Linked DNA regions of Nothobranchius furzeri. The protein of the gene in region 1 purifies or fractionates together with the protein of each later gene. This does not show direct contact. Links are inferred from orthologs where the notes say so. Each region holds a gene or a part of one and is shown on either strand. Other genes may lie near its edges.

Evidence for each region. The genes of interacting proteins can lie anywhere in the genome.
Region 2: the proteins of pink1 (region 1) and vimentin purify together in Homo sapiens (affinity purification with mass spectrometry; 3 studies listed by BioGRID and IntAct, with this or other methods). This does not show direct contact. The link is inferred for Nothobranchius furzeri from reciprocal best matches to the Homo sapiens genes PINK1 and VIM.

Annotation. Positions count from the first base shown.
Region 1 is NC_091755.1:38,777,405-38,785,295, forward strand, and holds the start of pink1 (serine/threonine-protein kinase PINK1, mitochondrial), read right to left. Parts: upstream 5,048-7,891; 5' UTR 4,956-5,047; coding exon 4,599-4,955; intron 4,177-4,598; coding exon 3,901-4,176; intron 3,820-3,900; coding exon 3,716-3,819; intron 3,637-3,715; coding exon 3,454-3,636; intron 3,296-3,453; coding exon 3,132-3,295; intron 3,044-3,131; coding exon 2,916-3,043; intron 1,484-2,915; coding exon 1,253-1,483; intron 1,152-1,252; coding exon 867-1,151; 3' UTR 1-866. UniProt on the Homo sapiens protein: Serine/threonine-protein kinase which acts as a sensor of mitochondrial damage and protects against mitochondrial dysfunction during cellular stress.
Region 2 is NC_091751.1:47,675,639-47,683,601, forward strand, and holds vimentin, read left to right. Parts: upstream 1-2,665; 5' UTR 2,666-2,813; coding exon 2,814-3,343; intron 3,344-3,521; coding exon 3,522-3,582; intron 3,583-5,873; coding exon 5,874-5,969; intron 5,970-6,188; coding exon 6,189-6,353; intron 6,354-6,624; coding exon 6,625-6,750; intron 6,751-6,855; coding exon 6,856-7,076; intron 7,077-7,146; coding exon 7,147-7,190; intron 7,191-7,275; coding exon 7,276-7,361; intron 7,362-7,438; coding exon 7,439-7,480; 3' UTR 7,481-7,825; downstream 7,826-7,963. UniProt on the Homo sapiens protein: Vimentins are class-III intermediate filaments found in various non-epithelial cells, especially mesenchymal cells. Vimentin is attached to the nucleus, endoplasmic reticulum, and mitochondria, either laterally or terminally.

The DNA of each region.
Region 1 (7,891 bases):
AACTAAAGCAAAAGGGAAGAATTGACCCGTTTTGGAACATCAGTTACTTCCAAAAGCCTTTGATATAAATTTATGTTTTTTGTACTTTTGAATACAGATGTTACTCATCTTTGTGTGGGATTAAATTTAGCCTCTAAAGGTTTGTTCCAGACTTCCTCTGACCAGATTTCCCTTGAACAAGTGGCCAGTTGGACTTGGGTGTCCCTGCAGACGGCTCTCGCACATTTAGACCCAGTAGAACTCTGGATCTCTAAAATCATTCCCTCCCAGCTGTCCTTTGTATAAAGTTCCTCCTTGGTGACGTCTTCTGTTAGACCTTCACAGACTTTCTCACATGGGTCATCACTCACGCATACACCCACACCTTCTGCATGATGTTGTGTTCCAGTTAGCGTGAGATGTTGCTCCATCTGGCTGGAAAACAGTCATTGTGAGGATACAAACTATGATGGAGAGGGAGCAGTCCGCTCGCTCGCTCGCTCCCTCCCTCCCTCCCTCACTCACTCACTCACTCACTCACTCACTCACTCACTCACTCCCTCACTCACTCACTCACGTGAAACCAGGCTGAACAAATCCAGAACCCCGTTCTCTGACTTTCAATAATAAATTTGATCCCATACAAAAAAATCCAGGAAGACCTGGAGCTGTCATTTTCAGTAAACGTGTAAAATTTCTGTGTGCTATAAAAGGTTTTCGAGCTAGCTGACGCTGAAATCCGGCCTTTCGCATGAGCGTTAAGCTACTGCTCATTCATACAGCAGCTAAATGTTAAATCAAGCACAACAAAAACACAGCAGGTATCCACCCATAGTTTAACTACCAGCGTTTCTTTTTGAGGGTCCGAGTTACGGTTTGGACCGGATCTACGCTGACAGAGAGCAGCCGCGGCGCTGCTCCCAACCATAGAGGAGGAAGCCCATTGCGGTGCGCAGCTCCACCAGGTCCAGATTGGACAGAAAGCTTCTCTGAAGCTCCGCCTCCACCCCATTCCCACTGGGTCCAGCACAGCCCTTCAGGAGAACCACCGCAGACTGGCACAGCAACCAGTCAACGAGTTTCTTCGTGCCAGCACTGTCCTGACTGGCCAAAACCTTCCGACCCCAGAGGCTGAGATGTAGCATGTTAGCCGCTACACGTGCACTGGGCCGCTGAGGAGGAAGAACAGAGGCAAACAGAGCTAATCATCAATTAAAAACAAACGCTTCCAAGTGTAAGAGATCAGTTTATAACTGGACCTATCCTGCTTTACCCGCTCTGGGTTTCTCCTGAGAAGTAATTGTATCACCAACTGCACATCAGCTGGACTTCTGGAAGGAAACAGAGGAAGCTGTTTCTCCTGGTAGTCGGTGCTACGCAGTCCCCCAGCCTGATAGAACGGGTTCTGCTCTCCAAGTATCTCATAGGAGATCGCCCCAACGGCCCAGGCGTCCGCCTTGCTGTAGTCAATCACCACACCGCTTCCTGGGACTGCGGTGACCACCTGATGAGACAAATAACCCATCACAGCAGGTAAAGACACACCGCCTCAGAGAAATCCAGGAACAGCCGGAGTGTTTGGTGTTGTGTTCAAGGTGGTCCACACGGTTCGGCGGGTCTGATTTGTTCGTTAGACGCCTGCAGGTACACCTGGAGTCGGCCAGGCTGGAAGTGTCGCTGAAGGTGTTTTATGTTTTTAAAGGGGCATTATGGAAGTGTGACAGCCATAACATGTATAGAAATAATAAATGTCTTCTTCATACTTTCTCCTGCAATGCCCTGGTCCTGTAGAATGAGCCCTGGCATTTTTACTGTGATTGCCTGTTTTTCTGTAAAATCACAGAAAAAGAGAGATGCTCGGGTCGAGCAGGCTGCTTCATGCGTGTTCACGCTCAGGCATCGCCCGTAGCATTTGCTATCCGTAGCTTTAGCAGCAGAGAGAGAGGCAGTGCCACTTTGTCGCTGTTCCTAACGCCTAGTGACAAAGCTAGCTACATTTCTGAGCACCCTTAGCTACTTCCTTCTAGATATTTCCTGCAAATTAGCAACAAAATAGCCATTTTCGCTCCGAACCGTTCTTTGAACGTTGTTTCAGCTGTCATCAAGGATATAAAAGTTACAGATACAAAGGATGTCATTGGCATTTTAGCTCACCTAGTAAGACGTCGGACTCTCGTGCCGAAGACCTGGGTTCGATTCTGGGTGTGATCATAGTTTATTTTTTACATTAATGGTATATTTTTTTACAGTAAGATGCCCAAATTTTTATTTGAGACTTGGCGAACGGCATTGAATTCACAGATAAAAAAGATGTGGGTTCAACTTTCATTTTGGAACAATTTTTCAAGCAAGGGAAGGGAATGATCTGAGCATGCAGGAGGACTGACCCATCATAAACCTTTGTCGGCTGTGCTGAAGAGAAAGGTACAGAACCAAATTATTTAATTAATTAGCTGTGCGTTCTCCTGTCCTCCCGGCTACACACACACACACACACACACACACACGGGACTGTCTCAGCTGTTATTTTCATTAAGGAGTGTGCACGTACAGCATGCGTGCACGAGCCTACTATTGAAGCTGCCGTTATGCTTTTGGCCTGAGGGGGCAATCGCGAGCATAAAAATTCAAAACGCCGTAAAGTCCCTTTAATGAAAACTAAAGTTTAAAGAAAATAAGCATCGTTTCAATTAAAATCTTAATTCCTAACTAGCCTGTGCTGTTTTCTACTCATACTAATTTCACGTGTTTCCACGTTAATCAAGAACTTTTCCAACAGATCCCAAGCCCTTGAGCCAGTAAGTTTTGTGAGTAATTCTCAGCTCAATATAATCAAACCAGTAAAGTTGGAGACATTTTTCTGTTTGCTGATCTGACCTTAGGAACTAAACAGCTAAAGCTGGCTCTGATCCTGATAAAGAAGAGGTGAAGCGTACCTCAGGAGCCATGAGCGAGATGTTTCCTCCTCTGCTGACACACAGGCTGCTGAAGGGAAGCTGTAGGCTGGAGCCACTCTGAGCCAAACAGCAGCCAAAGTCAGTAATCACTAAACGAGGACAACCACCTAGAAGAATAAAACCCAAACAAAATCATTTTAGTGCAACAGATAGAAACATGGCGTCTAATGGAAGCTTCGTGTTTTTAAATCCGACCCGAGTCAAACTCCAGCAGCACGTTGTCTGACTTGAGATCCCGATGGGCGACGCCCTGCTGGCACAGATGATCCACCCCCTCCAGGAGCTGCAGTACCATCAGGGATCTCTGCCTGCAGCTGGGCTTGGTCACCTGCAGGTACTGTCGCAGTGTGCAGGGATAACTATGGAAGCAAAAAACAACACTTATGTATCTGAGGATGACCTGCACAGCAAAAAGTGAAAAATGACCAGAATGATCCACTTGAATGCATCTGCTGGCCTTCTTCTTTCCCCAAAAGTCTGTTCACAAACTATTTCACATTTAGGAATCGGGTCTCACTTCTTCATGACCACAAAAAGAGTGCGGTTGTTGCCCAGGCCTGCGGGGTTGAGTCTGGCTGGAAGCACATCTGGATACTCTTCCTGAGCTCCTGGAAGCAACGGCACATCTGCAGTGAACGCCCGGTGAACTCTGATCACATTAGGGTGAGCAGAGACCCTTTTAGGGACGACTCCAAAATATCTGCATGTAGAGAGATCAAACATAAGCATGACTATCGTCCTCAGATCTGCACTACACTGCAGAATGTGTAAACATCTACCCATCCAGGGTGATCTCTTCCTCTTCTGGCTTAAATGCAAGAGGACCAGAAGGAACCAGCTCCTGTGACATAGATTTTAATATCGCCTCACTCGAAGACCCTGCCTGCAAACAAATGACATTTAAAAGAAGTCGTTTTTATGTTTTTTTTTAAGTTTCCTTTTTCTTTGGACCTGAATGACTCACCCCAAAGTTCCACAACATCTTGATAGCCAGGGGGAAGTTCATCAGAGAGCAGCACGTTGGAGATCTCACCATCTGGACATCCTCTTTGTCTTCTCTGACCTGTTCCAGCGAGTGCTCTCCATTGCTTTCCTTTGAGTTAAAAAACTGAGGTGCCGCTTCGTACACAGCTGCATTTGAACCTTTACCAATCTGGTTTCCAATGATGTAGTCTTCCAGCTTGTATCCAGAGCTGAACGGTATGAGAGGGCTCTGGAACGTTTTCTTTCTGAACACTGCCTGCAGTTTGGGAGAAAGAATTGGTTCAGAACCTACTCTTCAAACTCAGCGTTTCCATCTGATCTGCTCTTTGGGTGTTCCCCAAGGCTCTGTCTGGGTCCCCCACTACAAGCCGAGTGTATTTATCTGACACATAAACAACAATGCATTTGAAGATGTGATGGTTCTTTGCATTCAATGCTGAGAACAGGACCACACCAACCCCGCAGTCATGGCTCTTCCACTCCTCCACAAATGAGCTCACAGCTTTCCTCGACATCCTGCTCATGTTCTAGCAGCCCACTGTTGCTGCTCAGGAGGCCACCATCATGCTGGTTCACTGTGGTTTCCAGAGAAATTCTCAAACTCTTCTCGTTTCAACTTCTGTTTGAATCATTAATATTTGGCCATGACTGCAAGTTTGCGTTTCGAGAGAACCTCACCTGGATCTCCTGACAGGCTGTCGCACTCCGTCTGTCATCTTCAAGCTGTTGCTCGACGAGACCCACGCCGAGACCGAAAGCCAAAAACAGGGCCCTGTTACGAGGCGAGCCGCCGGTTAACCTCCTCCTGAAGCCGGCGTACTGAAGCTGGGCTGCCAGCCCCTTCAGGGAGGTGCGGTAATACCGGTACCGGGACGGCAGGAAAGCCTGAGGCTGAACGGTGCGGACCGACGGGCCTGCACGGAAACGCTCAGCTAGGAGCTTCGCTGCGACTCGGCCACGGGATTTAAGAAGACCCAGCTGAAGGAAGGAGCGTCCCAACTCCAGCCCCCGGCTAATGGCGTGCTTCACAGACATTGTGAACACAAAAATGTGCCTCAAGAGGCTTGGAAAGCTCACTTCCGCTAGCTTATCTTGTTAGTAAACAACAGCTGTGGAGCATGCGCAGAAGATTCTAAGATCCTCTGGCGACATCAAGCGTCAAGAGCGTCACACGACATGTGTGATTACAACCCAAAGAGCCATTTCTACCACATGTCCAACTACCAGACTAGGTGTGACCAAGTCACTGCTTTTCAAGTCACAAGTAAGTCACAAGTCTTTCCAGTCAAGTCCAAGTCAAAGACAACCAAGTTCAAGTCGAGCCCAAAGTCAATGATGTGGAAGTCCAAGTCCTAAACTTTGAATTTTCAAGTCATAATCAAGTCATCTGTCCAACTTCAATTTAATGACAATGATAATAAATAAATTCCAGAAATAAAACTTCTTAAAACTGAATTTATTTGCTCAAATAAGCAGAAAGTGCAACTGAAACTGATTATAAACAAAGTGCTGCTGCAGTTGGCAGAACAAGATCAAACCCAGAACAAAGAATCATTTATGATTTTCGTCCGTGTCGTGCCACTTTTGTGCTGAATATCAAATATGCTCAAGTCATCATCAAGTCAACAGATGCAAGTCGATTCAAGTAGCAATTCACTGGTGTTCAAGTCCGAGTCAAGTTGTAAGTCTTTATAGGTTTTATCAAGTCAAATCAGAAGTCATTAAAATAAATACTCAAGTCTGACTCGAGTCCAAGTCATGTTACTCAAGTCCATACCTCTGCCAACTACCCACCTGCATAGAGCCACATTATCGATTTGACTTTAGACTTAGTTCATTTATGTTATGTACGGTTGGTTTATTCCTTCAACATTTCAGGTAAATAACTTAATGCAAGACAAGTAGGCCTACTATCTATCTATCTATCTATCTATCTATCTATCTATCTATCTATCTATCTATCTATCTATCTATCTATCTATCTATCTATCTATCTATCTCGTGAGTCGTGGAGGATGGCTGCTTATACTGAGCCAGGATTCTCTGGAGGTTTCTTCCTGTTAAAAGGGAGTTTTCCTCTCCACTGTCGCTTTATGCTTGCTTAGTATGAGGATTGCTGTAAAGACTCTGACACTAGTCAGTGACTCGATGCAATTTGCTGAGTTCCTTATATAGGAAACATTTTTTCTGATTGGCTCAATGAACAGACCTGAATTGGGATGTTTATTATGTGAAGTGCCTTGAGACGACTCTTGTCGTGATTTGGCGCTATATAAATAAACTTAATAGAATAGAATAGAATAGACTTTATTGATCCCACAGTGGGGAAATTCACTTGTTACAGCAGCACCAGCACTCACCAGAATAATTTGAAGAGAAAAAGTTAGTGAAGAATGGAGAAAAATCATCCTAAATAGCAAAAAACTGAAATATGTGAACATTGTATAAAAATCTGGACAGCTAAAATGTCTAAACACCTGTTATTTCAGTAGGACTAGTTTATCAGTTGAATTTTTACATTTAGCTGAACTTTGAAATTAGCATCATATGCTGAATTCAGAAACTAATTGCTGAAGCTGCTGAAAAGCTGAAGTGAAGCGGAACTAAGCTAAACTGTCAAAATATGTATTTAAAGCTTTAGAAGCAAAAATCCCCAACAAGTGTAATAAAGCTCAGAATATAGGTGAAGAATGGACAAAAAAATGCTAAACACCAGAAAACTTTAATCTTTGAACATTGATTAAAAACTCGAAATTTTAAATGTTAAACAGCTGGCTGTCACGTTTAGGAGAGTAGGACCCAAATTGCAAAACCCAGGATGACACGAAGCAGGAATTGAAATAAAGAAAATCCTTTTATTGTAGGATGTGTCCAAAATAAAGAATAAATCCAAGAATCCAGGGAGTCAAAAAACACCAGAGGAACGAGCAGACTGACAGGACTTATAACGCTAACAAGCAACAATGGACCGACAAGAACACAGAGACAGACAGGGCTTAAATACACTGGGAGGAGCAATCAGGGAAACAGGAAGCAGGTGTGTGGGGTGAGCTGCTGGAGGGAAGGCAGGTGACACTAATCAACTCAATGGGGAAAACAGAAACAGAGGATGGCAAATACCTTAACACAAAACTAAACAACAATTTCCTAAAGACAGAGGGAAGGACTAACACAACCTAGCTGGAGGAGGACATAGTACATACACACATTGAGCTGGGGACAACGAGGCTGGAGCTGACCTGGGAGGAAACAGTAAAAGATAACATCAGACACTAGACTGGCACATAAACTGACACACAGAAACTGACACAGAAAAAGGACACAAGAGGGCGCCAAAGGGCTACAACATAAGACGCATAACAGGGATGCAGACAAGGACACATGAGGGCGCTAAGAGAGCACAAGGGGAGCTGGGGGAACAAAGGGACACAAGAGGGAATCTAGAGAGGGATGGAGGACACCAGGAGGCACATAAAGGAAGGGGGCTGACGGAGACCATGACACTGGCATTTGAATGAGAATAGTTTAATGGGTATATTTTTACAATTGGCTGAACTGTGAATTTAGAAATATTTGCTGGGGGTAGTAAAGAGTTGTTCACAGTGGATGTGAAGTTCAAAAGTTGCGGCATTTTCAGTTTAGAGTGGTGAGAGGCATTTTTTTAAATTTGAATTTTCTCAAACAAATGAACCGTACAACCACAATGTTCGGAGTACAGTCATGAATTATAGTTCCAAACGAAGGTATATTCGTTAGCTGTAAGCCAGCGTGTGTCTCATTTCAATCGGACCTACGGTTCTCTCGGGACAACGCCGGAAATGGAGCAAGGGAGGGTCACCGCTCCTATCTTTCCCCAATATAACTTTTGTGAATTTTTCTGAAAATTTCAAGTCGTACCTCAACTTCTACCTGCGATTTTAGAAAAAACGTAAAAGATATCAAAAAGCCTCTTTAATATGTTAAACAGGAAA
Region 2 (7,963 bases), on another chromosome or scaffold:
AGCATGAGCGCCTGCAGCTGCAGGGGGCGCCAACTTGCTGTTTCCAATCCAGACACTGTCATATAACCGATAATAGAAAACCTCGGTGCGGCGCAGATTTCCTTTTTTTTTTTTTTTTACTCAGCGCTTGTGCGCCCCTTTTGTGTCATGAAAAAATGCCGCCCCGGGCAACTGCCCTGTCTGCCCGTGCCTAAAACCGCTACTGCTTCACCCTTTTGTGCTGCCTTGGGTCTCTCCAAACGTGGAAGGAATTGGTCCATCCATTTTCTGTCAGCATTTGTTTTTTCATGTCCCTAAAACAAGCTGTTTTCAAGAGTCCATATTTATGATGTCACAAATGGGGAATTTAGGACAGAACCGTCTCTTACATGCAAGAGACAGCTGCTGTTGGAGGAGCATGCTCTGCTGCAGGCTCCTCTGATATATCGGAGCTTCTCAGCTAATAGCAACCTGAGCAGGAGATGGGTGGGCGTGGCCAAGTGCAGCTTGTTGTTTTTAACCGGATGGTCCAATCTTTGGTTTCAGAATGAGCCATGTTATTGGCCAAGGGATTTAGACAAATACGAGAGAACCACCTCATTATTTATTTTTTCGTTTTTTTAATCGCCAAAATAAATTCATAACTATACATGTTAGAATGTTTTAGGCTATTTTGTTTTCCAAATTTTCTCTAGCAACTTTAACAATGTTCTAACATTGCATTAAAATTGAAAAGAACATTTTGAATTCCCGGTGTAAGAGGGTATAATATGTTGCTTTTAAGCTTATTATACTACCTTTACTTATGACCAATAAGATGTGATATTCTATATAAATATAGGATATCAACCTGATTGATCTTTGAATGTTTAATCAGAAGAATTAGGATTCTTTGCCTTTTCAGTGATCATAAACACACTTCGTATTAATTCAGACAGAGTCAAGAAATGTATTTTCTAAACAAATTAAAAATCATGACCTATAAGCAACTTTATGTGATGGATGAATATAAGTGGATGGAATGTGATGTTTGATGATGGAATGGTGTGTGATGTTTATCAGAACCTTGGATCTAGAAGAAACTCAGGCTTGGTTCTGGGTGTGAAAAGAATTTGTTGTTTGTTATAAGCTGAAGAATTGATTCATCAAAACGGCATCAGACAATTCATGCCGTGCCTATGTACCTATTCCTGGAGACCCTGTTTGGATCTGAGATGTCAAAGAGTCATTGATCCCACTGCACATGGCTCGTAGGAAAACTTCGATGCGACCAAGTCAGTCCTAGGATGCCTCCGGGTCGTGAAAAACAGGGGGACTCGTTTGCGTCTAGAACGGTTGGACTCTTAAGGAGTCGGAACTGTCAGCGTTGTTCTGCAGGAACCGTGTGCTGTGTCAGCTGCAGCGTGCAACAGGTGTGACAGCTTGTCAAGAGATGCGGTGGTTAAAGAGTTTTCCTCTGGTGGCCAGTCCGGAGTTCGGCTCAAAACTAATTGAATTACTCAGCAAGTGATTCTGTTTTAACAATTGCCATATTATGATTACATGGCCAACCAGAATTTGACATGTAAAGGGGTTTTACCAACCAACCTCAGATACACACCTCCCTCAGATACAGTAGCTCTGATTTGTGGATCAGAAAGCAATGTGTCATGAGATTACTTTAGTCATATGTATGAGTGTGTGCTTGTCAAGTCACGTACGTTGATTAAATATATGGGTCATATATTTCATTTCATCCTTATTAATCTAAGCACAGATTAAACAAAACATTTCATTTAACCACATTGTTTATTTCATTATGTGATTAATTAACTCATATGAGCTGAAAGTGTTCACTTTTATTCAGAGGCAGGAGGAATCCTGTAGAAGCGATAAGAGAAAGCTTAAGGCCTTGAAACGGGAACAGTTTTGTTTACAATATGTTATCCATGTGTTCAAAGCTGCAGAGGCCTGAACTTCAGCTGATAAAATAGCAGAATTCAGCAGATTAAAGACACTAGATGTAGACTCATGTCTCCATCTGACTGGATACTGAAGAGGTCAAACTGTGGATGAAAAACTGACCATTTCTGGACGTTACAATGGAAAACAAAAGATTTTTGGATATAGAAAATGCGACTGATTTTTAGCGGTCTCTTGTTTACTGTGGCAATGTGGGTTCTGGTATCAAGGGACTTGGCTTGGGGATGATAGCCAAGGGAGGGGTGAGCACTCCGTGACCATGTTTGTGTTTAAATTCTAGTTTGTTTTAGAGATTTGTTATTGCAGGTTTAAAGTGACAGAGCTCTCAAATGGCTCATTCTGGAAGGTACTGAAAATGTAAAGAATAATAGTAATCACTCCTTGTGAGAGAACATTATAAACCTGTTTTGTATTGACCACAGATCTATTATAACTATAAGTTAAAAAGTAATAATATGTCCCTTTATTGAGTTATTTTCCACTTATAAGGTATTTTTCAAAACTTTATTTAAATGTATTGAAATGTTAACCTCACCCACAAAACGCCTGTTAACTTTAATAGATTTTATTTAGAAGCTTAGACTCACCACTTCATATATCAAGTAATTGAGAAAAAGGGAGATTTTTTTTCCATCCAAAAGAGCTTTGTGACCTTTCTCAGTTTTGTTGTGCACCTTAGAAGGCATCTGGCCTCAGAAAGCCAAGTGTGTGTTCTGATCTAGGATTGGAGTCTGGGGGTGTCAGTCAAGTTCTACTTGGCGCTTTTTGCAGGAGGAGGGGGCTATAAATAAGTTCTGGAGAGGGAAACGCCTTTCTAGGGCACCGCTGATGCTGCAGAGGTGAGGTGGACACTCTCAACAGAACCCAGTAAGATGTCCTACAGACCAGCTCCTCATTCTTCCTACAAAAAGATGTTCGGAGGGGACCGAGCCACGGCCCGGACCAGCTACTCCAGCCGCCAGTTCTCCAGCCCGCTGCGCTCCTCTCGGGTCTCCTACGGGCTCTCCTCCGCTCCGACCACCGTTTACGCAATGAAGACGCAGAGGCTCCGGAGCAGCGCGGCCATGCCACGGCTGGCCTCCGAGAACCTGGACTTCTCCCTGTCCGACGCCATCAACAGCGAGTTCATGACGAACCGCACCAACGAGAAGGCGCAGATGCAGTCGCTCAACGACCGCTTCGCCAACTACATCGAGAAGGTGCGCTTCTTGGAGCAGCAGAACAAGATCCTGCTGGCGGAGCTGGAGCAGCTGCGGGGCAAAGGCACGTCCCGGGTCGGGGATCTCTACGAGGACGAGATGCGGGAGCTGCGGCGTCAGGTGGACCAGCTCACCAACGAGAAGGCCCGGGTGGAGGTCCACCGGGACAATCTGGCGGATGACATAGAGAGGCTGAGAGAGAAGTAGGCGTGGCACATGTGGCCATGATTTCCTTATTGTTATTATTCATTTCTGCAGCTGTTCAGATGAGTAAGAAGTAAAATCAAAGAAGACAAAACTGAAAAGAAGAAGCATGGAAGAAAGCTCCTGCTTATGCTAAATATAAAATAACAGCTTTCTCTGTGTTCTCCCCTCCTGCAGGCTGCAGGATGAAATCTCCCAGAGGGAAGAGGCAGAGGCAAACATGCAAAGTTTTAGACAGGTATGAGATAGAATGATGACTTCAGCTAGCTAAAAAATGTTTCTGTTTTGTTGCAAAATTGCTCAGCTTTAATCAATCAATCAATCAATCAATTAATCAATCAATCAATCAATCAATCAATCAATCAATCAATCAATCAATCAATCAATCAATCAATCAATCAATCAATCTTTATTTATATAGCAACTGCCTTTGCAGGAGGCCAATACGCTGAGCATATAATACACTTAAAACATGAAGTGTAAAAGCAGCATAAAAGCATTAAACCAAGTCACATAAAAGCCAAAGGATACAAATTAGTCTTCAAATGACTCTTAAAATCCTGTAATGATGGTTTAATATCAAATGGAAGCTCATTCCAAAAGAAGGAACCAAGACCAAGAAAGCCCGAACTCCTCTAGATCTGTACCTAGTATTTGGGACTGTCATGTGAGGGAGGAGATGGCAGACAATGTGTGGTGGAGAGTTCAGGAGGCAGGAGAGCAGGCACAGATGAAATAAAAATGGATTTAATAGTAAACGGGAGCGACAGGACAAAACGAGCACATGCACATACAATGATCCGACGAAGACTGGTACAAGGAGGGAGATATAAATACACAGGGAAATCAGGAAGAGCAGAGTAATGAGGGACAGGTGAGAACAATAAGGACTAATCAGGGCAGGAGAAAGACACAGTCAGGAAGGCAGGGGCAGAACATGACAGGGACAGTCAGTAGCGTAGAATTTGTGATGGGGTGTCTTTTTATTAGTTCTGCCAAATATGGTGGAGCATCACCATAAAAAGACCAGAAGATATAGCAGAGAACTTTAAACTTTGCCCGAAAATCTACAGGGAGCCAATGTAATGAGGCCAGCACAGGAGTGATGTGTGCCGACTTCCCTGTCAGAAATCTGGCTACAGAGTTGTGAACCAACTGCCCCCAGCTTCTCATAACTTTGACCCAAAATCCCCAAATCGATGACGCAAACCTCCAACTGTGCAGTGGAGTGCATCCCTTTTCTCTTTTAGGTAATCTGTCTAGTTTTGGCTCATGAGCCACAGAGGCAGGAATGCACCGCTCTGATGACACAACAGCAGGTTCCAGACATGATTCCGAACAGTTAAAGAGTGCCCTGGCCTGGCTGGTACAAAAGGCCAAGTTTGCTCTGCTCGATTGGAGTCTGACTGGTCTGATGTGGTTATCAGAGCGAGAAGACGGGCCACCGCGTGATCCGGCTGTCTCGTTCACATAAGAATTTCTCTTGTTATGGTTCTGTTCCCTGTCACTGGTTTTCCAGTTGATAGGTCATGTGAATAGAGTTATATGGCGGTTACTGTACACAAATAGGTCAAAAACATCACTTTGGTGAATAACTTAAACACATAAATACACATTTTGTTGATTTTATGTTTTTTCGGTGCAGATTTGGGCTTAAATCAGGTTGTTGTATGGCAGGAAGGAATTGCATGAGTGGTCTGCCTCCGTGGCAAACAGACAACAATGTTTGGCCAGCAGCCGGCTCCTGCTCAGTCAGGCAGACAGTCACTCTTCCAGCCTTTGGGCATGTTTTGGAACCCCTGCTGAATGGTCCACATTGTTTGTGGCATTAACACATGGGCAAAGCAGCTTCTGTTGCTGATACCTCAATCAACGGCCTGCCAACGCCCCGATGAAGCTGTGCACTGGCACAACAACAGGTTTGTTTCATTATGGGTTCTGTCTTCCAAAACAAAAGCTTCGTGCTTAATTAAGTGGAGGAATGAAATAATGACTAAACATTCCATCACTGTTGGAATTTTTAATTTCATTCAGAGAAACTAGAAGGAAATTTCACAATAAACATAAATTTAGCTTATAAATGGGCTTAAGGACCTTTTTAATTATGTGGTTTGAATGAGACCCTTTACTGAATAAAAAAATTGGAAAATGGAGTCATTGATGTGTTTTTTAGAATAGTTTAATTTTTTAAATGCATTAATTCAACACATTTTTGATTCACTAGAGATATGAATAATAAAATGCTCACATAAGTACGAACGGCATCCTCTAGCATGTGGCTTTGCAGTCACAACACATGACAACATCCACTCTTTAGTGACACACATCATGTGCCTGCAGTTGATTTGTATTGAATGCATGTGTGTTATCTGCTACACAATGGGACATCTGTGTGTGGGGAAACACTTTAAATGCTCTTTACAGCACATGCAAGTGCATTTCTTTAAAAGTCCCTGCCAGCAAATGCATCATGAATAATTCTTGTCACCTTTACAAGTCGCCTTATTAAGAGTCAATGTCGTGGCACAGGATGTGGACAACGCTGCCCTCGCCAGACTGGACCTGGAGCGGAAGGTCGAGTCACTCCAGGATGAGATTAACTTTCTCAAGAAGCTGCATGATGAGGTAAGCTCTCCCCGTTTTCAGCTGAATCGCTGTGCTGCAGGAATGTTGCATGTGCACTGCAGTTTGTGAAAGACACCTTTATGGAGAAAGCCAAGCCAAATCATTTCAGTTATTTCTTAATCCACTTAAACGCCAATTTAGCTGGATTTCGAGCTTTTCCCAGAGCACAGAGGGACATTAAAACAGACTGTTCTGTTCGCCTCGCTGGTTCTGTTGCAGGAAATGCTGGAGCTGCAGAACCAAGTCCAGCAGCAGCAGCACGTGCAGGTTGACATGGAGGTGGCTAAGCCTGACCTGACGGCGGCTCTGAGGGACGTCCGCCTGCAGTATGAAAACCTGGCCTCCAAAAACATACAGGAGTCGGAGGAATGGTACAAATCCAAGGTGATATTTCAAGAAATGATAGAGTAGAATATTTAGTGCATGGCCATTTATTATTTTTATTTAGTAAAAATGTCTGCATAACAAAAACATCCTCAGCCTCAAAACTACAGCATCATGCATGGTCGCCTTTCATGACAAGATCTTGCAAAATTTCCCCACTTCACCCCTCTCACTGCACTTCCTCTCCTTCAGTCTCTGACTCATCATTTATGGAAGAGTCGAATTGTCAGCCATGTCTCCTTTCCCCTCCGTTTGCAACTATGATTTCTAGTTTGCTGACCTGAACGAAGCTGCAGCCCGGAATAATGAAGCTTTGAAACTAGCCAAGCAGGAGGCCAATGACTACAGGCGCCAAGTTCAAGTCCTCACTTGTGAAGTGGATGCCCTGAAAGGAACTGTGAGTGTGCAGTTTTCGTGCATCTGGGACTGGGAGCAATCAAACTGACAACAAATAGTTAAAAGGAGAAGCAGCATATTCATTCACGTTTGGCTGTGGTGACAGAATGAGTCTTTGGAGCGTCAGATGAGAGAGATGGAGGAGAACTTCTCCTTGGAGACCGGCAGGCACCAGGACACCATCAGCGGCCTGGAGATGGACATTCATAACATGAAGGATGAGATGGCCCGGCACCTTCGAGAGTACCAGGACCTTCTAAATGTAAAGATGGCCTTGGACATCGAGATCGCCACCTACAGGAAGCTGCTGGAGGGAGAAGAGAGCCGGTAAATGAGAATTTGCTTTGAGCCTTCATCTGTTTGTTAGTAACCTGTGGAGTGTGTCTTATTTTTGCAGAATCTCCACACCACTGCCAAACTTCTCCTCTCTAAACCTGAGGGGTAAGACAATGACTTGCATGATGATCCTGTAGGAAGAGTTCTGTTATCAGCTTTCATTCTGAACTAATTTTGTTTTCCTCCTTAGATGCATTGACTGAATCCAAATCTCACGTTGAAGCCACAACAACAAAGAAAGTTGTCATCAAGACCATCGAGACCAGGGATGGTCAGGTACTAAAGATGTGATTTAAAGTCTCTAGCTGAGCTCTCACACGCATCTCTTCTCATGCTCTTCTGTCATTTTGCAGGTGATCAATGAGTCAACCCAGAATCATGAGGACTTGGGGTAGCCACGTCTCGATTTTTTTGCCAAACAGTCAACATGAGCAATACGAAGAAACACATCTGACTGGGTCTGCAAGCAAGAAAGCCACCCAGCAACAACAGCTTGGAAAAGTGCCTTTATATGTGATGATGCAGTTTTGCTTCCTTCTTTCCTGAAAGTATTTTGTCACTTTTTGTCTAGACAAAATGGTGAAACCAGCACAGTATAGCAACCCTAGGAGGTCTTCAGAAGCCTTTCTTTGTAACCAACATAGTATATTTGACTTAAGCATGCACACAAGAATTCTGTAAGATGATGATGATGTCACAATTGCCTGTATGCAGCAATAAACAATGAAGACTGTAACTCAGCTTTGTGTTAAAGTCTAATGTTTGTATTTAACGTAATCAAAATATCTCAGTATTCAATCTGAGCCTTTTCTCTGTTTATTTCCTTTACGTATTTTGGATCCGATGGACCTAAGAGACATGAAAATACTGTTTTGGAA